7 linked regions of the Rattus norvegicus genome follow. The main gene of each other region encodes a partner of the protein of the gene in region 7 in a complex. Links are inferred from orthologs where the notes say so. Each region holds a gene or a part of one and is shown on either strand. Other genes may lie near its edges. The genes, in order: Vps72, Meaf6, Ruvbl1, Morf4l1, Morf4l2, Kat5 and Epc1.

Region 1 (3,500 bases), on a different chromosome or scaffold from region 7:
TTCTGCCTTTTCTTTAATCATCCTCATGCCCCACTCAGAGACTATTCAACTCGTGCTAGCAGACTCCAGCACAAGCCAGGAATGAGCTGAGGTCTGAATATGTGCTGTGAGGAAAGTGAGCTCTAAGAGAGGCCAGGAACACGGGCTTCACTCACCCTTCCACATCCACATTCTCTTCCTTGGGACCTGGCTCCCCAACAAGTGGCACCGTCACTGAATGGTAGGTGATTATTGGCCCAGGGCACTTCCGCTTCTTGTGAACCTGCTTCTTTTTGTCAGCCTCAAGCCTTTCATAGGTCTCTTCAGGATCAAAGGGAGACATGATAGAATGGTCAGTTTCCCTTTTCCTACACTCTGTCCCGAGGTCTATTTAAATTCTCTTGTGTACTTATGAGAGTGTATGTACGTGAACACACATATGGAGAGGTCAGATGACAACATGCTGGAGTCAGTTCTCTGCTCATATCACGTGGATTCCAGGAACTGAACTCGGGACAACAGGGCTGTCACCAAGTGCCTTCACCTGCTGAGCTATGGCATCTCTCTGGGCTCTGTCCTGTGATTTTGTTTTTGCTTTCGTTTTCATGTTTTCTTTTTTGTTTTTTGAGATAGGGTTTCTCTGTGTGGCTTTGGCTGTCCTGGAACTCAGAGATCTGCCCGCCTCTGCCTCCCAAGTGCGGAGATAAAAGGTGTGTGTACAACCACTGCCCAGCTGCGTCTGCATATCTTTTTAAAAATTATTTATTATGTACACAGCGTTCCGCCTGCATGTATGCCTGCAGGGCAGAAGAAGGCTCCAGATCCCATTATAGATGGTTGTGAGCCACCATGTGGTTGTTGGGAATTGAACTCAGGACCTCTGGAAGAGCAGTCAGTTCTCTTAACCACTGAGTCATCTCTCCAGCCTCCAAGTCTGCATTCTAAAAGGGCAAAAAAAAGCTAACCTAAGTGACTCTTTTCAGGAATTTCTCTGTAACCCCCTCAGTTCCCATGGCTGGCTACACTGTGTTAGTGCTTAGATCTGGTGGCACACTGTCAGTTCAATGTTGGTATAGCTGTTTGCACCATGAAGGGCATAGTAACTCACATTAGCTACACATTATCAGGACCATGCAACACTGCATGCACATCTGTTAGTGAATAAACAGATCACGACTCCTCTGGTCCTTTACCCCTGAATGAACCACACTGTTTCTCCATGTGGGCGCTGTGGACACAGTCCTCTCAAATCTGGCCAGAGCCCCCCTAGAAATCTCTCCCTGACTCATAGAGTTGGGACTCCCATAATCCAGGCTGGCCTTGAGTGCCTGACTCTCCTGTTTCTACCTTCCATACACTGAGCTCATGGATCTCTACCACTGTGTCTGGCCTGTGTCTGACTGGAGCTACTGCTTTCTCTCAGAAAAGGAAAAACCAGCCAACCGTTATTTTATACCAACTGGACCTCAATCAAACTGACACTCTCCCCACCCCCAAACCCCACCAAGACTCCAGATGCCTAGTACCCTCTCCTATTACACACTCATTTCTTCTTTTTGTGTGTTTATTTCCCTTTGCATGTTTCAAGACGGGCTCCATATACATAGTCTTGGCTAGGCAGAAACTGATTAAGTAGACCAGGCTGGCTTTGAACTCCCCAATGCTGGGAATATTAAGTACGAACTTTCTAATTATTCTGCTTTAAATCTCCATTTTTCCAGGTCTCTGGTCTCACGCACCTCAGTGTCTGTACCTACTTTCCCAAACCAGACTGACCGAGTGAACGTAAGTTGAGCTCTTCAGTGATCTTGGCCTCCCTGAGCAGCTCTTCCTGGGTTAGTGGTCGTTCACAGTGCGGACCCTTCCGCCTCCGGGACTGTCCTTGCCTCTCTTGAACCCGAAGGAACGTCTGTCGTGTGTGTTCAGCTGTAGACTGACGCATGGACTTGCGGCCTACAAAAAGTGAGATTGGAAGAGAGTTTTCAACTCATTTCTACTTTGTTCTCTTCTTTTTCTTTAAAAAAAAAAAAAAAAGTACGTTCTGACTGTGTAGCTCTGGCTGTCCTGGACTTCACTCTGTGAGCATCTGACCTCGAACTCAGAGCTGCTCGGGCCTCTGCCTCTGGAGCGCTGGGATCAGAGGCCTGCCCACCACAGCCAGCACATTTCTAGCTTCTTTTTGTTTTCTTTTCTTTTTTGTTGGGGTGGGGTGGGGTGGGGTGATGGAAGGGGCTTTAAGACCCTTCTCTGTGTAACTCTGGTCATCCAGAACTTGTACTGTAGACCAGGCCGCCCTTGAACTCTGCCTCTTTAGGGCTGGGATTAAAGGAGTGTGCCAGTACTGCAAGGCTACTTTCTTAGCTATTTTAAAAAAATTTTTTTAAACAATTTAAGCTTACTAAAAAACAAATTTAGCAAGAATAATACAAATAATGCCTACAGCCTTTAATCTTAATCACATCACCTACTATGAACAGCACACCCCATTCATTCCATTCCGTAGATTCCTAGTACTTTTAATGACTCAGGTTATATTAAAAAAAAAAAAAAAGTTAAGTTGTACACAGCTTTCTCTTAAAGAATTTAGTATTTTTATTTTTTGTGTTATTGGGGATTAAATTCTCTACCAGTAAGCTACATCCCTAGACCTTCTCATGTTATATTTTATTAATACCTTAATTTTTTTTTTTTTCGGAGCTGGGGACCGAACCCAGGGCCTTGCGCTTCCTAGGCAAGCGCTCTACCACTGAGCTAAATCCCCAACCCCAATACCTTAATTTTTTAAATAATATTTGGGAGGGCAGCACATGTGAAAATCAGAGAATTTTCAGGAGTTGGTTCTCTCCTTAAACCACATGGATCTTGGGGACAGAGCTCAGGCTTGGCAACCAACATCTTTACATTCTGAGATGTTGGTCTTCATGTTTTTATTTCTAGACAGTCTCACTAAGTGGTTGGGGCCAGCTTTAACTTGCTGTGTAGCACAGGATGGCCTTGAACTTGTTACTCTCCTGCTGGCAGCCTTTTGAGTAATTGTTGTTTACAAGCCTGAACCATCTGGCCCAGAACTATTTCTAAGAATAAGGATTTTTTTGGGGCTGAAGAGCTGGCTCAGTGGTGTTGAAAGTGTTTTCTGAGCGCTTATGACCACTGGAGCTGAGACAGTGGCTCACACGGCACACACGGAACAAGTCTGTAACTAACTCTTTTGGCCTCTGTACACATCTGCACATACAAGTGCACATACACCCAAGCAGACAGGCAGACACACACACACACACACACACACTAGGATTCTCTTTACAAAACAATGGTTATCAACTTCAACCTAATGCAGACAGAACATTTAATCATCACAATTAAATGTGGTCAGCAGATGTAAACTCACTGTCAGAGCCATCGTCCTGTAGCTCCAGTGGCAGCAGCGTCTTCTCCTCTCTGGCCTTCTGGGAGCTGCTTGCTGGGGTACTGACCTTGCGAGGCCTCAAGCTCTTTAGAGGCTCCTGGGGACAAGTTAGAAA
Region 2 (3,500 bases), on a different chromosome or scaffold from region 7:
ACCTGACTTGCATATAAGAATTTCTGCCACCCACAACCTGAGGGTTCTGCCACTGTCCCAGGCATCTCCACGCCAACCAAGTCCCGCCCAGCAGGTGAGGACTCTGGGTGGGACCCTGCCACTAACCTGTGCCGGTTTTTATTCTTCCGCTTTTTGTGGCTGCTGTGGTGGCTCCCTGAGGAGGTGGAAGAGGCAGCTTTCTGAGGCTTCACTCCCTGAACGGAGCCGTCCAGGTCTTCAGGGTCCTCCTGCGCAGGCTCGTTTTCCTGATTGTGGAAGTCTGGGGAAGTATCGCTTTCCGTCCCACTTCCTGGTTCCCCTAGAGGAAAGAGAACAGGCCCCAAAAGCCTGATCAGTGTTCCTGAGTCCCTGTCATCCACAAAGGTTTTCCCTTGAGGAACACGCGCTCAACGCACCAAAGCTAGGGAGTCCCTGAAGTCCACGTGGTCTGCATCAGCTCTGAGGACAGAGGTGACCGCAGCTCAGAGCATCGCCCTCTACATAAGGGACACTTCAATATGGGGCACGCTGAAGAGAGGCAGGGACACCTTGGCAAAACTGACAAACCATCAGAGAATCCCGTCTTTCTATAAAGAGTTGGTGGGGGATGAGCTAGAGAAATGACCCTGAGATTAAGAGCAGGTACTGCTCGTGCAGAGGACCAGAGTCTAATTCCCAGAAGCCATGTCATAAGGCTCACCTGCTGGAATGCAGCTCCAGGAGATCCAACACCTCTGGCCTCCTTGGGTACCTGCACTCACATGCACACACACACCCCACCCCGACACATACATATGATCTAAAGAGTAAATTCAAAAAAGAAAAGAAAAGGTACCCACTGGGAAGCAGAGTCTAGCCCATCCCTCAATTACTGAGGTCGTGGACATTTTTTTTTGGAGGGGAGACAGATACGGTCTCATGTGAATCCAGGCCGTGAGGTGAGTTCACAGGGCCTGTAGAAGTGAGAGGAAATCGATCTCCCAGAGCTGTCAGACACAGGCGATGGGAACCGGCCAGGGTCCTCTGTAGAAGCAGCAAGCGTCCTTAACAACCGCATCTCTCCGGCTCCCCCTCCTTTATCTTTCTAAAACTACATTTTGCTTATTTGTGTATATGTCGGGGTGGGGGTGCTGCAGCAGGGTGGTTTCAATGGACCTGTCCCCGCAGGCCCAGGGCTTTGAATACCTGCTGTCTAGGTAGTGGAGCTGCTTGGAGAGCGAATAACCTGCAGAAGGAAGCCACTAAGGCTGGGCAGGGGTGGGGGTCTCACCCCACTTCTTGCTCTCTCTCTCCTTCAAGTGCGACAAAATATAACCAGCCAGCTTCCTACACAGGGAACCCATTCTTGGACCATAAAGGAAGCCAAGATAAACTTTCCTCTGTAAGTCACTTCTGGTCATGGTATTTCCTCACTGCCATACACAGTAATTAACATCCACAGCAAGTAAAAGGAGGTCAGGGAACAGCTTAGGAGAACCGGCTCTCCCCGTTCACCTCTCAGGGAGCAGACTCAGGGTTAGCCACATGCTTACCTACTCAAGCATGAGCTTCTGGTCTTCCCGACCCCGGCTCCCGAGTGCTGAGATTACAGGGATGTCCCACCATGAGTTTTCCCCTGCCTTTGGCAATCTTGGGTACAGTAAGCTAGACCATCAGCCCAGGAATGCCTGAATGAAGTAGTAATTAATGTTCAACTGACATAAATCACCAGTTTCAAAACAGCATTTCAACAGTCAGGCTGGGTGGCACATGCCTATAATCCTGGCACTTGGGAAGGTGAGAGGACATCTCAAGCTCAAGGACAGCCTGGGCTACATAAAAAACTACTACTACTACTACTACTTCTTCTTCTTCTTCTTCTTCTTCTTCTTCTTCTTCTTCTTCTTCTTCTTCTTCTTCTTCCTCTTCCTCTTCCTCTTCTTCATCATCATCATCAAAATCACTTGGATATATTTACACAGAAGCATGCATGTTCAAGAACATCTCATAAATACTGTCTTAGGGTAGGGTGGCTACAGAGTAAAGCACTCACACAGCATGAACTAAGCCCAGGGTCAATCCTTGCACCCAACAGGTAGGAAGGAGGAAAGAAGAAGCAGGAGAAGGCAGGGCATCAGACGCAGGAAGCCCCAAGTCCATGACTAGCCTGAGCTACAGAAAAAAAGAGTTCCATGGCGTGGGCCCCCGCCCTCTGCCTTTGCTCCCCCCAGTGCTCGGGTCACAGCTGTGTATCACCATGTCCAGCTTCTGGAAACCATCACTAGATAAGGACAGGGAGAGACCCGAATTCTACTCAACTACTAATGGACCCAAATACATTAGTATTTGTCCCTAAAGATGGTCAGAAGGGTCTGTGTCTGCAGGAAGGTCAGGGGTCAGTGTTTTCCCTTCTGCCTTTACATTAGCATTTTTTAAATATGTAGCCACCAGAAGCAGCAGAGGCAAAAACAAAACAAACAAAAAGCAGAAGGAGGTTGAAACAGGAGAATCACCGTCAAGGTTAAGGCCAGCCTGGTCTACATATCAAGTTCTGGGTCTGTCAAAACTACAAAGGGACACCCTGTCTGAAAATAAAAAGCAGGAAGAGGGCTGAGCGGATGGCTCAGTGGGTGAAACATTTGTATGTAGTGCAAGGACCTAAATTTGGATTTCCAGAATCTACATAAAGCTGGACACAGACGCACACGCCTATAACTCATCTCCTGTAGGGTATAGGGTCCTAAGACGGGAAAATCCCTGGGAGCCCCGGGCCAGCATGCTGGCTTATACAATGCAGTGGAGAATAAGAAGAGACTGTCTCATCTCATGAAGGAGAGAAAAGACTAACATCTGAGGTTGTCCTTCAGGATTCACACAAGCACCACAAAGTACACGTGCACACGCACACACACAAACACAGAGAAAGAGAGAGAGAGAGAGAGACAGACAGACAGACAGACAGACAGACAAACTAAAAGATAAAACAGAGAGCTAGAGAGACGACTCAGTGGTTAAGAGCACTGACTGCTCTTCCAGAGGTCCTGAGTTCAAATCCCAGCAACCACATGGTGGCTCACAACCATCTGTAATGGGATCTGATGCCCTCTTCTGGTGTGTCTGAAGACAGCTACAGGGTACTTATATAAATAAGTAAATAATTTTTTAAAAAAGAAAAACAGAGGGATTGGGGATTTAGCTCAGTGGTAGAGCACTTGCCTAGCAAGCACAAGGCCCTGGGTTCGGTCCCCAGCTCCGAAAAAAAGAAAAAAAAAAAAAAAAAAGAAAAACAGAGAAGTGTTAGCACAGTAGCATCCACCTGTAATTCCAGGGCTGGGAAAGCCAAGGAGGGAAGATCAGGAATTCAAGACCAGCCTGAACTACATCTCAAAACCACAGTCAAACAAATAGCAAACACACAAAACGTAAAAGCAGACGAGACCAGCAAGAAGGGCGAGCAGGTGGAAGCGTCCCTGTGCAGACCTGAGACCACATGGTCGGAAGTAAATTTCTTGGTCGGGAGA
Region 3 (4,235 bases), on a different chromosome or scaffold from region 7:
CAAGGCCCTGGGTTCGGTCCCCAGCTCCAGAAAAAAAGGGAAAGAAAAGGAAAAAAAAAAAAAAGAGAGAGAGAAAATGAATGAATACCTTGCCAGTTCCAGGAGGCCCTGCCAACAAGACAGCTCTTCCAGCCATTTTCTTGCTTTTGATTAATTCGACTATGACACCACATGCCTGCACAAAACAGAAAGAAACAATCAGTCAATCTTAAAATGCTTCATGGTAGAAACAGTTCAGGGCTTGGTCCACACAGTTCCGATGCTCTTCTGACAGGACACCACTGCTGTGGGGTGGAGCGGTGGGGGTGAGCCACGTGCTCTAGCTCATGCCATATGATGGCTCCCACAAAGAGAGAAGCAAAATGAGACACTGAGCAGCTAGGGAGAGCTGGGGCGGAGGGGGCTTTCTCATAACCTTGTATGTAACATTTGAAGCCCCGGGCAGAAATCTACATTTCAGGCAAAAATTGCAAATTGAAAATAACCAAAGTACAAGTTTGATATGTCTAAGGGTCAACATGCTGCAGCTACCAAAGTATAGTGAACAGAAGGGAAAGGGGAGGTTGAGGCAGGCAGGAGCCAACACAGACCTAGTACTTAACAAAAGCAGCAGGGCTGTGCATTCCAGGCCAGTTTGGCTACGGCAACATTATCTAAACAAAAAGGGTGTGCTATGAATCCAACCAATAAGAGTTGGAAAGAGCTGGTGAGATGCTCAGTGGGTAAAAAGCACCTGCAGTGTAAACCTTAGTTCAATCCCTGGATCCCACAATGGAAGGAGGAACCTCTGACCTCTACCCAAACACCATGGCAGGCCTATAACTGCACAGCCTACGCACACATTGTGTCAAATAGGAAAAGAAAGAGATACCAGCTAAGGAAGCCAGGTGCATAGTAAAGGCCCACGCCTTTAATCTCAGCACTCAGGAGGCAGAGGCGGATGGATCCCTGTGAACTCAAGGCCAGCAGGGTCTACAGAGTCTCAGGACAGCCAGAGCTAAAAGTGAGACCCTGTCGTGAAAACAAACATACAAAAATAAATACCAGAGTGTGGCTGCAGTGGTCCACACTACTCTCTGAGTTTCGCCATGCTGCCCAAAGACGACAAGAAGAAGAAGGATGCCGGAAAGTCGGCCAAAAAAGACAAGGACCCAGTAAATAAATCTGGTGGCAAGGCCAAAAAGAAGAAGTGGTCCAAAGGCAAAGTTCGGGACAAGCTGAACAATCTCATCCTGTTTGACAAAGCTACTTACGACAAACTTTGTAAGGAAGTTCCCAACTATAAGCTTATTACTCCAGCTGTGGTCTCCGAGAGACTGAAGATTCGAGGTTCCTTGGCCAGGGCAGCCCTTCAGGAGCTACTTAGTAAAGGACTTATCAAGCTGGTTTCAAAGCACAGAGCCCAAGTAATTTACACCAGAAACACAAAGGGTGGAGATGCCCCAGCTGCTGGTGAAGATGCATAAACAGATTGAATCAGCTGTACATTTGGGAAAATAAAACTTTATTGAATCAAAAAAATAAAAAATAAAAAAAATAAATAAATACCAGCTAATGACAATAATAATAAGGGTGAAGATACTGAGTACCAGGGAGGCTGCTAGCGTGATTGGCCAAACAAGAACCCAGTGCAGAGGCAGGTCTAGAACAGACTCTGAAGTCACATACAATCCAGTATCTATCCTGGCCATTTCACTTGAGGTGAGTGTCCTCAGATTTATTTTACCTAACACCTATTACTCATCTGACTCCGAGTGTTCAAAACAACTGTACCCACAAGGAAGGGCTTATGTGCAAAGTGGGCTGATGTCCACAGTTTACTCTGACTTGTGACGGTAGACATACATGAACAGATATACCATAAAGCATCACTGTAAAATGTTAACTGTAGAATTTTGGCACACTGGGATTTAATGTGCAAACATGTCAATGTTTCTGTGTGCTTAGAAACATCAGACCAAAGTGAGGTTTATTAGACAGAAATGAAATAACAGACAATAAAGCCGCCTGACAAATAGAAAGCATTAAACTATTGCTTGCAAAAAAAGATGCAAGTGAGCTAGGGTCAAACGTTTCCCTTTTGGATAGATGATGCTCTTGAGGCTGGGAAAGCAGTCTTCACCACATATAAACAGCAAGTTTTTGTAGATACTGAGTCTCTGCAGGGATCAAAGTGGAGCAGTCTGAGGAAATGGGAAGAGTAATCATTTGGGGTGGGGTCGGGAGAATACCAGCCTCATTACTGCTGAACTGGCAGGTGGTTAAGCGACCTGGCCCACCTTTAATTTCTTCGTGTGCAAAACAGAACCGATCGAAAGACCTGGCATAACTTCCAATGACTTTAAGAAGACTGAACTGGAAAAGCTAGAGTGCTTGGATGGGGAATAGGTCATAGTGTTCCTCCTCACCGCTCCACTTAACAGATCAGCTCCCAGGCCTAAAGAACCCATATCAACTCCGAAAATTTAGTCAATTCTACATTTAATCCCACAGCTTTCCACTGTGTTTCCGGTGAGGCCTAATTTGCCTGCCGTGACCCTTGCTGGCTAATGTGATCCTCACTTCTCAGACAAATCTTAGTGAGACCTGGTCCCGCCGCCCACACCGCGTGCACACGCCCCACGCCCACCTCTCTCGCGTTCTCCTGGCCCACGAGCCCCGAAGCCGCCTGCTTGGCCAGGCCGCTCTCATCCAGCCCCAGCCCCTTCACGTGGCTGTGGGAGGCAATGCGTTGCGTCTTCGTGGTGCTCTTCACCTCCTCAATCTTCATTTTGACGAGTGTGTGCAGCCACAACCTGCGTGGAGACTAGGAACTACGGCACGCCAGGCGCCTGGGTTACCACGCGGCCGTTACTAGGCCGCTCTCCAGGACCCGCCCTTATTAGTACGCCATTGGTTGAAGCGAAAAGACTTCGTTTTCTATTGGCTACAAGCTACGCTTGTCGGCGGCTGAGTTTCACCCACCAACTTCCGTCTGTGTCACAGGTTAGGTTCCCCCAGGGCAGGCATTTCCTGCCCTGGCCAGGTTTGACTGGGAACCGTCAGATTCTTAAGCGCTATTAATGTGAATGGCAGGTTTTTAATTATAAACTCCTCTTTTAATGCTTTTTTTCTTTAGTATAAGATGTTTATGCCAGGGTGAGTTGACTCCTTCACTGACAATTATTAGACCTTTCCCAGGTGCTTGGATGTCCTGAGAGAACTATCAACGAAGCAGCTGCCCAAAGTTCTCCCACTCACACCTAATTTAGACACCCCAAGGATGCCCTGAGGAAGCTGCCCAGCCAACCACTCTTTTCCAGCCCATTTTTTCCAGAATACACTAGATCCTGAAGGCACTATTCCAGCCCAAACTTTTCAAACACTTTATGTCATGATTTTGATCATCACATGCCCAAGAAACTTTTAAAAAAGAAGAGAAGGTGTCTCTGCCTCCTGAGTTGCTGGGATTAAAGGTGCTGCCACCATACTCTGACCAGCCATTTTCACCTGTCTTGAGTGGGTACAGTTCTCCAGGTAGCCAAACAAAAACTGCCTGTGACTTGTGAAGAAACATGGCCCTTTATTTGAATAAGCAACTGTTTGGTTATTGGTGCAAACATGGTAGTCCATTTCCACAACCCACTGTACCATAGTGTAAATTTAATGCTTCATTTGCATGGAGGGCTGTACTAAGGACAGCAAACATTCTTGTTTACCCTCTGACATTCTGGCATTCTAAGCAGGTGCCCCTCACTTTTAAGTCAGCCAGGAGACACCCTCCTGTGCTGTACAATGTACAGTTGTGTTGTAACATTAGTCCCATTGTAAGATTTCTCCAGTGGTCTATCCACCTGGATTAATAGTATGGTGGACTGAGCTGGTAATATGAAGACATGCCGAGTGGCTATAGCAGTGAAGACAGTGATAAAAGGCAGCTAGTGAGTTCTAGAGTGACTGGGAACAGAAGTGACAAGTGACAGGCAGCCGAGAAACCAAAGGCAGAGATTGCTAGACAAGTTCCAGGGAGTGCCAAGTCTTTTCATTTTTGTAATCTATCCATATGGGTGTTTTGCCCACAGGTGTGAACGCACCATGCAGTGCTCAAGGAGGTCAGAACAGGGTGTCAGATCCCCAGGAACTGAAGTTACAGATGGTTGTGAGCCATCATATGGGTATTGGGAATTGAATTTGAGTCCTTTATAAGGACAGCCAGTGCTCTTAACTGCAGACTCATTTCTTCAGCCAGGGAGCTT
Region 4 (3,953 bases), on a different chromosome or scaffold from region 7:
TCTTGGAAAAAATAATGAAAAATTAGTCTCAGGAGATAGAGTCTGTGAGTTCATGGTCAGCCCAGTCTACATGGCCAGGTCCAGGCAAGCCAGGGAGATATATAGATAGATATATAGATATGGATATAGAGATAGATATAGATAGATGTAGATGTAGATACAGATATATAGATATAGTAAGACTCTGTCTAAAAGAGAAAAGGCTTGGGCAGAAAGGTTTGCCTAGGATAGTTAGGTAGCTGTAAACTGTGGAGGGACTTCAAGTATCAGGACAACTATTTTCAGACTTATCTCCTAGTTAACAGCTCTAAGCCTCTGCGTGCACTTTATGTAATTCTGTGGGTATAGGGGTACGCTATTTTTACAGCAGAGTACACTAAGGAGTTTTTGAACATAGGAACGGTGTGAAAAAAAGGTTTTTTGTTTTTATTTGTTTTGCTTTTTCAGATTGAGTATGCATCTAATACTACCTCAAAGAAATAAGATTGCAGAGAGGTTAAATACGGAACCTTGACTTTGGCAGCAATCCGGGTTTGCCTCCTTCAGTGAGACCGAGTACTTCAGAAATCAGAAGCTGCAATCTACAAATGGTCCTGAGAACCGACCCCCCTACCCATCCCAACTCCCCCAATCAGGGCTTGGCTTTCCAAACGCTGAAGCTTCTTCTTGAGCAGACCACCTTCCCACTCGCCTCTAGCTTCCTTTCTGGATTTCAAAGCTCTCCTAGGCCAAGTCCTGGTGATGCCTTGGAACTCAGGCTGCAGAGACAGTCCTGTCCTCAGGCCACTTCAACACCCCACCACATCTCTGGGGCCTCATTTCATAACTAAGCATCTGCCCCATGAGCCTTTTCTATCCGTTCACCGCTAGCTAGTGATTTACTTATTTCTTTCTCCTTGTCACCAACAGAAAATCAAATCTGGGTTGTAACAAGCCTCTGAGGTCTGGATACTCAGGGGACTGGGGTTGGGGGATTGCGGGCGCGGGGCGGGGGGGGGGTATCTCCCGCTCCCCTCCCCCATTGCTCGCGTCAGTGGAGGCTGAACTACCAATCCCGGCGTGCCTCGGGGGCGGCACGGGCGCAGGCTTGTGTGCGCGGCGGGTAGCCGTTGGCTGAGGAGGCGGCTGCGCCGGTCGCTGTGCTGTGAGGTCAGACGGCGCTGGCAAATCGCGCCCAGGATGTAGAGCTGGCTGTTCCCGACGGCGCGTCTGACGCTAAATTGGGTGGGGTAGAGAGTAGGGGGCGGTAGTCGGGGGTGGTGGGAGAAGGAGGAGGCGGCGAATCACTTATAAATGGCGCCCAAGCAGGACCCGAAGCCTAAATTCCAGGAGGGTGAGTGTGCAGCTTTGGGAAAAGGGACCTAACGGTGCAGGGGAGGGAGGCTGACTTGGAGCTGTTGAGGTTTGGGGGTCGGGGTCGGCGTGGCTCGAGGCCTGGGGAAACTGCGGGCCTGGCTTTGTAGGGGGGGGGGAGGCGCATTGCGGTGGGTAACTTCAGTGCGTCATTTGGCGACAGTGCTTCGTGGCGCGAAAGCGAGCCTCCGGCACAGGCAAAGCCGAAGGATCCCCGTGCGTATGGCAAAGCCTCGTCGCTTGTTTGTTTTTCTGCGAGCAGAGAAAGTCTATTGTAGGGAGGTGCCCGGAGGGCGAGCGATGGCGACGGTTAGGAAGTGATGTGGCGTGGGGGAGGGGAGCAGCGACAGCCCATCCCCGCGCTTAACTCTCGGCCATCGGCCGCGCGGGTGACTGTGGGCTGAAGGTTCGAGGCTGTTGGACACTGGGGCTATCTCAGCGTTCTGTGGAGTTCTACTGTAGGAGGACACGGGGGGTGGGCTGTGCGCCCCGCGGCGGGAGAACTGCGTTATAAAATGGCCGCGGCAACATGGCCGCGCCATCATGGCTGCCGGCGTCTCGCAGCTACGCGCAGCTTCGGGCCAGATGGAGCGCCCCCTGGCATGGAGATCACGCTCATTGCCTCCTCTTGCCTCTTGAGTGATGGGTGGGGACAGAAAAAAAAATAATAAACTTGAGCCGCCCGAGCGAGTTCCTAGGCTCGCTGTTGCCTGAGGGCATCGTTTTGCTGGTTTTGGAGTGCTCTCCGAAGCCGTTGTTCGTGAAAACAATTTTCAGTTCCTCCTTAGGGCGTTTCCGTTTAGAGGTCCTTGGCCACGTTGTCATTTTTAAATACAGTAGTTGCTTGACTGGTTGTAATAGTACTCGATTAATGGCGATTTGAAAGCTAACGCTTATTGACTTTGATTAGAACAGTGTTGCTGAACTACGGTACTAACAGTGGAAAGCAGTTACTCAGTTCTCACAACTCATTCTGTCCAGGTGGTTTATTTGGCATACTAAAGGGAATAAAACTATAAGCATAAAGAGGAACACTTTAAACTTTTTACTGCTAGCAATGTCTGTATGTGCTTGTTATACATGCTGGGTCCAGCTTGCATAACAAGTTTCAAGTGCCACCAAATAGAAACGTTTTAACTAATCGATGTACATAAGAGAGTATTGCAGGGGTATTTTAGTGCGGCCTCTTAATATTTTTCTCCCACTTTGAGACCATTCATTGTTTTTCTAGGTGTTTTGGAGAAAGCTTTTTGTTTTTTGTTTTTTTGAGACAAGTCTTGGTATGTAGCCCCAGCTACTGTATTGATCTTCCTTGTCTTAGTCTTTAGAGTATAGCAGCTAAGTCTTGTTTGCCGTATCCTGTACGTTCGCTCAATATTATATAATTATAATGACACTTAAAATAGTTTTGAGGGGCTGGAGAGACCAAGTACTTCCTAAGGCAAGCATGAGGACCCGAGCTTGGAACCCTAGCAAGCAGTTTTAAAAGCTTGTTTACTTCCGGTTGTGTTGGTGTGCACGTTAATTCAAAGCATTCAGGAGGCAAGGGAGGGTGGAACTCTGGGTCTGAGGCCATCCTTGATACTTAGAGCTACGTAGGACATCCAGAACTATACAGAAACTCCTTTGCGTATGGAGGTGTGTGTGTGTGTATGTGTGTGTGTGGTGTTGCTCTATACCCAGCAGGGGTTGGAGGGGTGGAGAACTGCAGCAGCAGGTAGATGGAGACCTCTGTAGCTCATTGGCCGGCAGCCTACTAATGTGTGAGTTAAAGTGAGAAACTGTCTAAAAAAGTGAAGAGTTAGTACTGTGGCAGACATTAAACTGGTTGGCCCTCACTTGTAGAAAGATGGTGTACCCTGTAGTTTTGCTAACTCTACTAAGTTGTTTTCCTTAGTAATGCCATGTTTTAGGTATCAAAGCATGCCAAGAGGCTCATAGGCTTCTCCAGGTTGTCAGAACAAACACAAAAGCGTAATCCTTGCTTAATGTTAGAAACTAGAAATCAAGAATGGTTGTTTTGAAAGAAATGCTTTCTTTCTGAAGGAGACAGTGCCAAAGTGAGGTGGATAAAGGCAAACCAGAAGGATGGTGTTGGTGTAGTTGGAGAAGAGTAGGAACAAAGGCTAGGTTGTGAAAGCCTGGTAAATCTCTGCTTTACCATTATTTCCCAGCTGTGGATTCCAGGTGTAGCTGGGTGTGATACCTAAAATTCTGTCCAGCATTACAGAAGCAGAGGCAGGAGGCTGACCAGCCCAGGGGTACATAAGATGACCCTGTCTCAGAAAACAAAACCAAACCGAAGAAATCCAAGCTAAGATAATATGGGTATCTTTTTAAAATTGTATAAAAGACATGTTCGGTCCTCACCTTGGCTAATTCATAGGGCCTATGTGGTAGAGGTAAAGAACTGTCTCCCACAAGTTGTCATCTGACCTCCACATATTTACAGTGGCATGTATACATACATTTACTCCCCACCCCATAGTAGATAAAAACCCAGAGAACATCCAGAAAGGAAACAGTGTTGATTGGATTATTTTGAAATCTTGGTAGAATTTTGATAGTGAAAGGTGGTAAATATACATTTTGTGTATGTG
Region 5 (3,500 bases), on a different chromosome or scaffold from region 7:
GCTGGAACAGCTGCTTCTGCCTAGTAACCAAGTCCCAATCTTCCACCAGCCATGGTTTTAATTCTTCAGGGATCTTCACCTTCACCTCCATCCTACTCTTGAATGCTTCCTCGCTCTCCACAGTGGGGTCAGCCCGTGCCCTTTTCTTCCGAGGAGGCTGGGGGACTTCACTGGTACTGCCACCGTCTCCGTTGCCAGGAGTCTTCTGCTTGTTCTTCCTTGTCTTCCGCACAGAACCAGAAGGGGGGTTCTCAGCAGAGCGACCTCCCCATCTTCCTGGGAGGGCTGGATCAAGATTCTTCGGCTGCGAACCAGCTGACTTCTTTCCTGAGGCAGCTCCTCTCATCTTACTTCTCTGCATATTGCTGCGAGTGGGTTTCTTAAAGTTGTCTTCTTCAGCAGATTGTTGTCCACGAGTTTGAGAAGCCTGCTTTCTGGAACTCATTCAACCCTGTTTTTATTCCAACCACTGTAATACATAAAGTATTGTATTTGGTTGTTTACTATGGTGATTTTATGACCCATCAGACCACAACATATGCTAAAGTCTGTTGGAATATAGATTTCAGGTCCTATTTCAGAGGACCATTTATAAATGCTTTTCTGTTTTCTATCTCAAAATTCTATCCTAATGCCCACAACTCTTGCCTCACCTAATAATTCAATAAACACGCCCACAAATATATCTCTTGATGCTATTTAAAAGATAGGGATTTAATTTTAGAGAAATTTTAGAGATAGAAGGAAGCAGAGTTGAAATGCAAGACTTTGGAACAAGAATAAGAATTTGAAAGGAATAAGGAAGTTGGAGGTGAATTAACAGAAAAGGTTTGTGTATACAGGTCTAGGTAGGCCTTGAGTAGTTCGATGGCACAGAATTCACACAGAGGAATGCAATGATCAAAGGTTAGAGTCAAAATGGGCTCTGCACGACTGAGCCTGGGTAGTTTTAGTAAAGCACAGATTTTTTTTTAAGGATTTGTCTGACACTGTCAGAAAACAAGATTAGTCCACTGATAGTTACATGCATAAAAGATCTCTTTTAGTAACTTTAGAAGAGATGAGAAACTGAGAAAGGAGTTACTGACAACTTTCAGGCTTTAAGGATGGATGACCATCACCATCAAATGAGATGGTATTTATATAAACTGCTTAGAGGAGAAAGGTGATTAGTTTTGGACTTTTTATTATCTTCAGTGTGCACTCAAAGAGAGAATGTTCAAACTCAGAGTAAAGAAATGGAGATTTCTTATCGTGTAGCTTATAGCACACACTATGAACCAGTGAACCTCTTCACTGAAGAAAAAACAGGCAGAATTTCAGACATAGAATTCCAGAAAATGTAAAGAACAAAAAAGTATTTGAGGAGTTAGCAAGAGACCACAGATTAAATGGTGAGCCCTCCATCGGAGAGTAAGAAGATATGTGACTTTGGAAGATAAAGAGGTTGAGTTTCAAGAGAAACAATATTCAGTGAAAATGAATTAAAAAACAAGCCTCCTGCTTCGATGGCTGACTCATTCGACAACCCCTTGACTTACACAATGTTCCTTCTCTCCCTTCCAAGGATTCCTAGTAATCTCCCAGATGGAATCTTACAGATCTCCTAGGATGGTCTGGAAAGATGAAGTGGGAATACAACCTAGAAAGGAAAGTAGGGATATGCAATGAAGATGAACTTTTACAAAATCATGTAAGAAAAAGTTACAAATGTGCCTTACATATAGGAAGGAAAATAGTGTGTGATCTGCAAAATGGAACTGAAGACATGTATATTCAAGCACAAGAAACTATTCCTAGTTGCTATAGGCTACTATAAGAATGTCATGTTACTGAACAGCTAGCATAGTACCGCACATGACCATTTCTACATGTGAATGAGGGCGGTTCACTAAAGTAGCACGAGCAATGAGGAACTGCAGACATTTACAGCTTCAGCAGGGAAAGGGTGATACAAATTACACATGCACACTACAGAATACCCAAGTGACTTAAGCAGAGGCCTATCTACATACTGACACTGAAAACTGTTTAATGTCCTTAGGTAAATGGGTTAGTAGCACAGCTCTTATTAACAGTGTGATTCCATTTGTCTTAAATGAGTGTGCAAATGTGTAAAACATGAGTCTGTTACATATTCAGGGTACCCCCTTCCCCGAGTAAAGGATGGCATTCCAGCTTTAATTTACCAAGGACCACCTCAAAAAACAAAATCCATGTGTGAATGGGGAGTGGGTTTCTGTTTACAGTGCTCTGGAGGACCATAACCCATTTTTCTTAAGAGATCAACACCTACTAAAATAAGCAGGTGTTTTGGAGGCTGCTGAGGTCTGGGGATGTAAGCCAGTAGTAGAGCATTTGCCTTGGTCATCAGTACTTCCTTACCAAGGAACTTATTAGCACATAGTGTGGTCCTAAAATTTTGAATCCACTTTGTGGGTCCTTCCTTCCAATCCCCCACTACTAAACATTGTTCAGTTCAGTTAGCATACCTACTCTACTCCAGACTTCCTCTCCCTCACTTAAATACAATAAAAGTCCTACCACAGGGCTTGTGTTATAACCTTGGATCTTCTGCAGAAGCACAGAGACTAGTAGAAAATTTTTCTAATCAATCTCTAAAGTTAGCTCAAGAATAATCCAGAAAAGTATCATTTTTTAGGTTTGTGAGGTAAGCACGTATTATTAAATCTTAGCTCTCACTTTAAAAAAAAATCATTGAAAGAAAACTATGTTCCCATAGTTATGTTAAGGTTATGAAATACACCTTTTAGGCCATGACATTTGTTTCACTCCTGGCTGATTTATTTAGCGGAGCAAGGTATAAACACATTTAAGGCTTTTACCCTGGTGCTAAATTGCTTACCCTTCAAAAACTCTAACTTAAAATGAGCAATCACACCACAGCACACCCTTTGGTAAGCATCAGCAAGCTAACCTTCATTCTTTTCTGCTCTACCACTGAGTTACATTGCCAACCTTCAATAGCTTTAAAAGACACTTATTGTTGTCCAATTTGCACCTGTGTTAACAGAAATCTACCCCCCCATTTGTATATGCCTTTGTCCTTTTGAGTTGGCTCTTGGTAAATTTATCATTTTCTAGGATCTCTTCAAATTATTTTTGACCAATGCTTTCCCTTGGAGGGCTCTTTAGTGTCTGATGTTAAAGGTTTTTAATGCTCCCAGCTCCACTGTTGTAGACAGTGTTCCAAATGTCATTATTACAAAAAGAACCAATACTAGACATCAATGCATAACTATATTAAGACCACTAGGTAAGTTATCTCTGAAGGATATATTCCAAGAGGAATTAAAGGTAGTTGCCTACATAGAAGCTTTTGTGATGTAGCCCAATTTATCTCAGAACTGTTTTAATATGTATTCCTAGCCAAAACCATGTTAAGTTCATTCTTCCATCTTCAACCACACTAAAGATAAGCAAGCATTTTACTAATTCAACTATACCTCAATCTTCAAACACCCCTTTCACCACAAAAA
Region 6 (2,403 bases), on a different chromosome or scaffold from region 7:
GGTCTCTTTGGAGTACCTCACTGATTAGAGCAGGCGAGAGGAAACTCAAAGGGCAAACGAGATATACCTACTTTTGCCTAGTAGGACACAGAAATGCCAACAGATTGATAAAAGGGTGGGAGCAATCATTGAACAGGGCTCCTGACTATAGAGGTATATGGCATCCTGGGGATTCATGGGAGTGCTTACTGTGGGGATCCAGTAGCTCTCTCCCCTTCTGGGCTGCTGCTTTCCAGACACCAGCCTTTCCCGCCCTTTTTGTCCACGGGTGCTTGAGCAAAGAGGACGGGACCACCAAGAGAGATGTAGCTAGGAGCAGAAAGTGTGGGGAGCATCATGAGGCCTGTATACCCAAGAGTAAGGAAGGGTATCTCCAAACTAATAGGGACATCCCCAGAGCCCTGACAAAGCATTGTCAGCTCTGCAGGGCCTAACAGTCTCAGGAACTGTCTGGCAGTGCCAGACACAAGCAACACCAGCAAGGGAAAGGGCCACTAAGGGTCAGGTGCCTGGCTCTGAGGAGGCCCTTTCCTATTATGTCTTTAAGCACCCAGCCCATTCTGCTGAGAGCAGCTGACATGCCCAGGATCACAGCTAGTTAAACTGGTGACACTGAAAAGGTCCCCATGGCCTCAAACCACAAAGGGCTCCCTCACTACCACCATACACCCAGACACAGGCTGGCAGGGCAGTGGAGAACATAGCACTCCATCCATCAGCTTCCACTGGCTGACAAGTACCCAGTCATAGCTGCTGTTCTAGCTGCCTTTGGCTGGCTCCCCTACACAGCCAGCAGGGAAGCTGCTGATCCATCAACAAGAGTAAGTGTGAGACAGGCACCCAGGCAGCCCAGCTCCACAGTCCCTCTTACATGCTGCTGTGTACACACCACTTACTCCTCCTCTTGTGCTCCATTCGTTGCTTTAGGCTATGAACTCTCGAAAGTAGAAGGGAAGACAGGAACTCCTGAGAAACCCCTGTCAGATCTTGGCCTTCTATCCTACCGAAGTTACTGGTCCCAAACCATCTTGGAGATCCTGATGGGGCTGAAGTCGGAGAGTGGGGAGAGACCACAGATCACCATCAAGTGAGCCCAAATGTCCACCTGGGGGTTTGTGGTATGGCCTGTCTGTCCCTGGGGTTTCTGGGGACAGATGAATACCCTCGGGGACTTAACTTTCACCCTCCCCCTCCCCAGTGAGATCAGTGAAATCACTAGTATCAAGAAAGAAGATGTCATTTCCACACTGCAGTATCTCAATCTCATCAATTACTACAAGGTCAGGAGGCGTGCTTAGGGGATAGGTGAGGGGTACCAGGATGCAGGCTCTGCGACTGACCATGAGCTGGGTCTGTCTTTTGCTCAGGGCCAGTATATCCTCACTCTGTCAGAAGACATCGTGGATGGGCATGAGCGGGCTATGCTCAAGCGGCTCCTTCGAATTGACTCCAAGTGTCTGCACTTCACTCCCAAAGACTGGAGCAAGAGAGGAAAGTGGTGACACACACACTCTCACTGCAACACCGCGAAAGCCAGCTGAACACGGCTGTCATCCTGTCGTATCCCATTCGAGCTTCGAAGAGTCATGCAAAGGGAGACAGGCCAAAGGACAGACCCAAAAGAAGAAGAGGCCTAGGAGGGGCCAACTAGTGGCCAGTACCAAAGCGAGCTCAGGTCTAGGCCGACTCCAAGGATAGCTGGCTTGTTGGCTCAGGTCCGCTCTGAACACAGGGACCAGGGGGACCCAGGCAGCTGTGTACACTAAGGCGGGTGGGGAGCATCTGTACAGGACTGGTGACTGTAAAAATTTCTTTTGTAAAGGAGGAGCTGGAGGGTGGGGTGGGCGCTGGTTGCAAAGTTCTGGCCCTCCCTGCCCCCAGAAATAAATTGTTTTTATAGGCAGAGCGATCAGGAGTTCTTGCCAGACTGGGTGCCATGCAATGCCAGCTTCAGGGTGGTAAGGTGCCCACAGACTCAGGTGTTGTGAAGATCTCATTTATTGGGATAGAAACAGTGGCTCCAAAGTGGTGTGAAGGGCTCTGTGACTTTCATTTTCATGCTCTGGCTCTCAGTCCTCTGGCACCTGTGCGTGAATCTGCAACAGGAGTCACTTCTGCTTTGTGATTTATAATACACAGCAGTTGGGTGGGAACCCAGCTGCTCAGGGTGACAGCCCCTTCTAAGAGAAAAGTGGGGAATGCCTCCCACCAGTCCCTAGTCTGGACCTCTGGAGCCATGATCCCTGTGGTGCTTATTTGCCCCTAGAACCCCAAATACTAGAGACACGATTCAAAGCTAGTGCTAAGTGCGACCAAGCCTGAGGGGAAAAGAGCCCTTGAGTATACGTACCGCTGCAGCAAGGCTGGGCCAACCTAGGGCCCTATGCACTTTGGCATCTGGAC
Region 7 (2,253 bases):
TTCCACCACATAGGTTCTGGGATCAAGCGTAGCTTGATGGGTTTGGTGGCAAGGGCCTTTACCCATGGAGCCATCATGTTAGCCCCAAACCTTTATCATCGTTTTGGGATGTGTGTGAGTGTGTACACACATGTGCGTGCACATGGAGGCCACAAGTGGATGGCGAGTGTCACTTCTATCCGTCTTCACCTTAATTTCTGAGAGAAGCTGAAGTTCATGGAGTTGATCCCTTCCTTTCCTGTAACCCCCACAATGTAGGGTCATGCACTCAACACGTGAAGCTTCTTTAAAAATGTGGATTATGAACTCAGCTGCTCCTGCGTGTACTGGCAAGCACTGAGTAGTTCTCTTTGGCCCTGAACTCTTTTTCGGCCTTTACACAATTACGTTGTGTAGTCAGAGGCAAGCTGCAGGACTGCTTCTCTTCTTCCACCACACGATACAACGGACCAACGCGGGCTGTCAGGCTTGACGGCAAGCGCCTCTGCCCACGGAGGAGCTCCTCCTCCCAACCCAAAGCTTTTCTTAACAATCATCCAGCACAGACACAAATATCTCCACAATTCTTAACAATCCAGCACAGACACAAATATGTCCAAAATTCTTAACAATCATCCAGCACAGACACAAATATGTCCAAAATTCTTAACAATCATCCAGCACAGACACAAATATGTCCAAAATTCTTAACAATCATCCAGCACAGACACAAATATGTCCAAAATTCTTAACAACCCAGCACAGACACAAATATGTCCAAAATTCACGATGGGACTTTAAATCTAGGTCTCAATCAACATCACTAAGTGAGACAGACACAGGACTGGAACACTGGGTAAAGACAGGGATATGAGAAGTCCCATCTACTGTAAATGTCCCCATATTTGTCATGTTCTACAGCAATGAAAGTCATGATTGGTGATGTGGAAGAGGAGAACTAGTCCACTGATCAGCCATGATCAGACCAACAATGCGTTCCTGGTACTGAACAGATAAATGTAGACAGGGCCTGTGGGTGTGCAAAGTGAGCTCCTGCACAGCTGCTCTCCCGAACGCTCTCTGCTGAAGTCTCAGTGTTGGTCTAAGCATAGCACTGGCCTTCTAGGCAGCAATGTTAACCGCTAAGCACCATCTTCTCCAATTTTTATTTCTGCTTTGCCCACTCAAACTTATGATACACATTCTCTTCACCCAATCAAGTGGGGTCTGATATTTCATAGAACACACAATTCGGTTTTAAAACAAGAGCAACTGTCAATACAATGAACTGGGCAACACACGCTGATCTGAGACAAACCTAGAAGGGCTTCTGTCTATTACCTGCACTGTTTTAACACCCACATTCATGTTTTAAGCTTATTTCTTGCTAATCTGAATAATGCAGGTCTTTGTTTCTTTTCTCCTAGTACTTTGTAGCAATAGGATTTTAATTAGTTAATACAGAGTTAAATTAATAGTTATAGTTAAAATGGAACCTTGACAAAAACCTTAAACTCCTGAAATCAAGAAGGTCAGTGAGCAGAGAAAGCCACGGCTTATTAGATGTCAGCAGGCCTGCCAGCATTTCCACAATGAGTAGCGAGCAGACTGGCGAAGGAGGCTTTACCAAGTCTACCCCACAGTAAGCCACCGATGAGATCCATCAACAGCATGACAGCACCTAAAGAGGCCTCCCTCCACCAAAGCCACACAAGAGTGACGACACTCGAGGCTACTGCTCAATTAGGGGAGGTCCGGGCCCCAGAAGCAACACTGACTGTCCCAGTGAGTGGACTGGCCTGGTCTTAAGACTGAATTCAACCAACACTGAATTATTACATCCGCTTGCTTAGTTCTTGAGTAAGCGAAGGTTCATTCATGTATTCATATATATATATCCATATATATTCAATACACAAAAGGAAAAGAAGAGAAGACTTAGGTGGATAGCCACTTCAGGAGGCAAGTTAGGTGTTTACATTTCAGACATTTAATCTTCAAAGAACTACTCACCTTGGAACTGAATCTACAGAGGATGAGGAGGGGACCTTGGAAACTTGACAGTTTGCTGCAGCAGCCAGCTTTAAGGCAGATGGCGGAACAGCACTTAAAGTCCTAGGTATATGCCGTGCGTTTATTGGGGCGATAGAGTTGACAGTGGGGACAGATGAGGGGACAGTTAATCGGATGTTGTTCCCAAACAGAACCTGAGTTGTTGCAGAGTTGGCAGCAGTTACTTGGTGACTCAGTGCGCTGTGGGAACCCGAAGTCTGT

What was found.
Region 1: Epc1 (region 7) and Vps72 share a complex: the UniProt entries of both Homo sapiens proteins name them as parts of the nuA4-related complex. The link is inferred for Rattus norvegicus from reciprocal best matches to the Homo sapiens genes EPC1 and VPS72.
Region 2: Epc1 (region 7) and Meaf6 share a complex: the UniProt entries of both Homo sapiens proteins name them as parts of the nuA4 histone acetyltransferase complex. The link is inferred for Rattus norvegicus from reciprocal best matches to the Homo sapiens genes EPC1 and MEAF6.
Region 3: Epc1 (region 7) and Ruvbl1 share a complex: the UniProt entries of both Homo sapiens proteins name them as parts of the nuA4-related complex. The link is inferred for Rattus norvegicus from reciprocal best matches to the Homo sapiens genes EPC1 and RUVBL1.
Region 4: Epc1 (region 7) and Morf4l1 share a complex: the UniProt entries of both Homo sapiens proteins name them as parts of the nuA4 histone acetyltransferase complex. The link is inferred for Rattus norvegicus from reciprocal best matches to the Homo sapiens genes EPC1 and MORF4L1.
Region 5: Epc1 (region 7) and Morf4l2 share a complex: the UniProt entries of both Homo sapiens proteins name them as parts of the nuA4 histone acetyltransferase complex. The link is inferred for Rattus norvegicus from reciprocal best matches to the Homo sapiens genes EPC1 and MORF4L2.
Region 6: Epc1 (region 7) and Kat5 share a complex: the UniProt entries of both Homo sapiens proteins name them as parts of the nuA4 histone acetyltransferase complex. The link is inferred for Rattus norvegicus from reciprocal best matches to the Homo sapiens genes EPC1 and KAT5.

Annotation. Positions count from the first base shown.
Region 1 is NC_086020.1:185,374,138-185,377,637, reverse strand, and holds part of Vps72 (vacuolar protein sorting-associated protein 72 homolog), read right to left. Parts: intron 3,483-3,500; coding exon 3,368-3,482; intron 1,933-3,367; coding exon 1,756-1,932; intron 301-1,755; coding exon 156-300; intron 1-155. UniProt on the Homo sapiens protein: Deposition-and-exchange histone chaperone specific for H2AZ1, specifically chaperones H2AZ1 and deposits it into nucleosomes.
Region 2 is NC_086023.1:142,642,935-142,646,434, reverse strand, and holds part of Meaf6 (chromatin modification-related protein MEAF6), read right to left. Parts: intron 320-3,500; coding exon 127-319; intron 1-126.
Region 3 is NC_086022.1:122,488,319-122,492,553, reverse strand, and holds the start of Ruvbl1 (ruvB-like 1), read right to left. Parts: upstream 2,801-4,235; 5' UTR 2,771-2,800; coding exon 2,630-2,770; intron 1,546-2,629; exon of another isoform or gene 1,467-1,545; coding exon of another isoform or gene 1,089-1,466; exon of another isoform or gene 1,027-1,088; intron 176-1,026; coding exon 89-175; intron 1-88. Other genes in the region: Rps25l3 (small ribosomal subunit protein eS25-like), read left to right, coding at 1,089-1,466. UniProt on the Homo sapiens protein: Possesses single-stranded DNA-stimulated ATPase and ATP-dependent DNA helicase (3' to 5') activity; hexamerization is thought to be critical for ATP hydrolysis and adjacent subunits in the ring-like structure contribute to the ATPase activity.
Region 4 is NC_086026.1:99,541,532-99,545,484, reverse strand, and holds the start of Morf4l1 (mortality factor 4-like protein 1), read left to right. Parts: upstream 1-1,153; 5' UTR 1,154-1,293; coding exon 1,294-1,333; intron 1,334-1,486; exon of another isoform or gene 1,487-1,569; intron 1,570-3,953. UniProt on the Homo sapiens protein: Component of the NuA4 histone acetyltransferase (HAT) complex which is involved in transcriptional activation of select genes principally by acetylation of nucleosomal histones H4 and H2A.
Region 5 is NC_086039.1:104,875,947-104,879,446, forward strand, and holds part of Morf4l2 (mortality factor 4-like protein 2), read right to left. Parts: intron 1,643-3,500; 5' UTR 1,542-1,642; intron 470-1,541; 5' UTR 446-469; coding exon 1-445. UniProt on the Homo sapiens protein: Component of the NuA4 histone acetyltransferase complex which is involved in transcriptional activation of select genes principally by acetylation of nucleosomal histone H4 and H2A.
Region 6 is NC_086019.1:212,324,589-212,326,991, reverse strand, and holds the end of Kat5 (histone acetyltransferase KAT5), read left to right. Parts: intron 1-927; coding exon 928-1,087; intron 1,088-1,198; coding exon 1,199-1,280; intron 1,281-1,367; coding exon 1,368-1,502; 3' UTR 1,503-1,903; downstream 1,904-2,403. Other genes in the region: Rnaseh2c (ribonuclease H2 subunit C), read right to left, coding at 2,303-2,403. UniProt on the Homo sapiens protein: Catalytic subunit of the NuA4 histone acetyltransferase complex, a multiprotein complex involved in transcriptional activation of select genes principally by acetylation of nucleosomal histones H2A and H4.
Region 7 is NC_086035.1:59,200,267-59,202,519, forward strand, and holds part of Epc1 (enhancer of polycomb homolog 1), read right to left. Parts: coding exon 1,993-2,253; intron 1-1,992. UniProt on the Homo sapiens protein: Component of the NuA4 histone acetyltransferase (HAT) complex, a multiprotein complex involved in transcriptional activation of select genes principally by acetylation of nucleosomal histones H4 and H2A.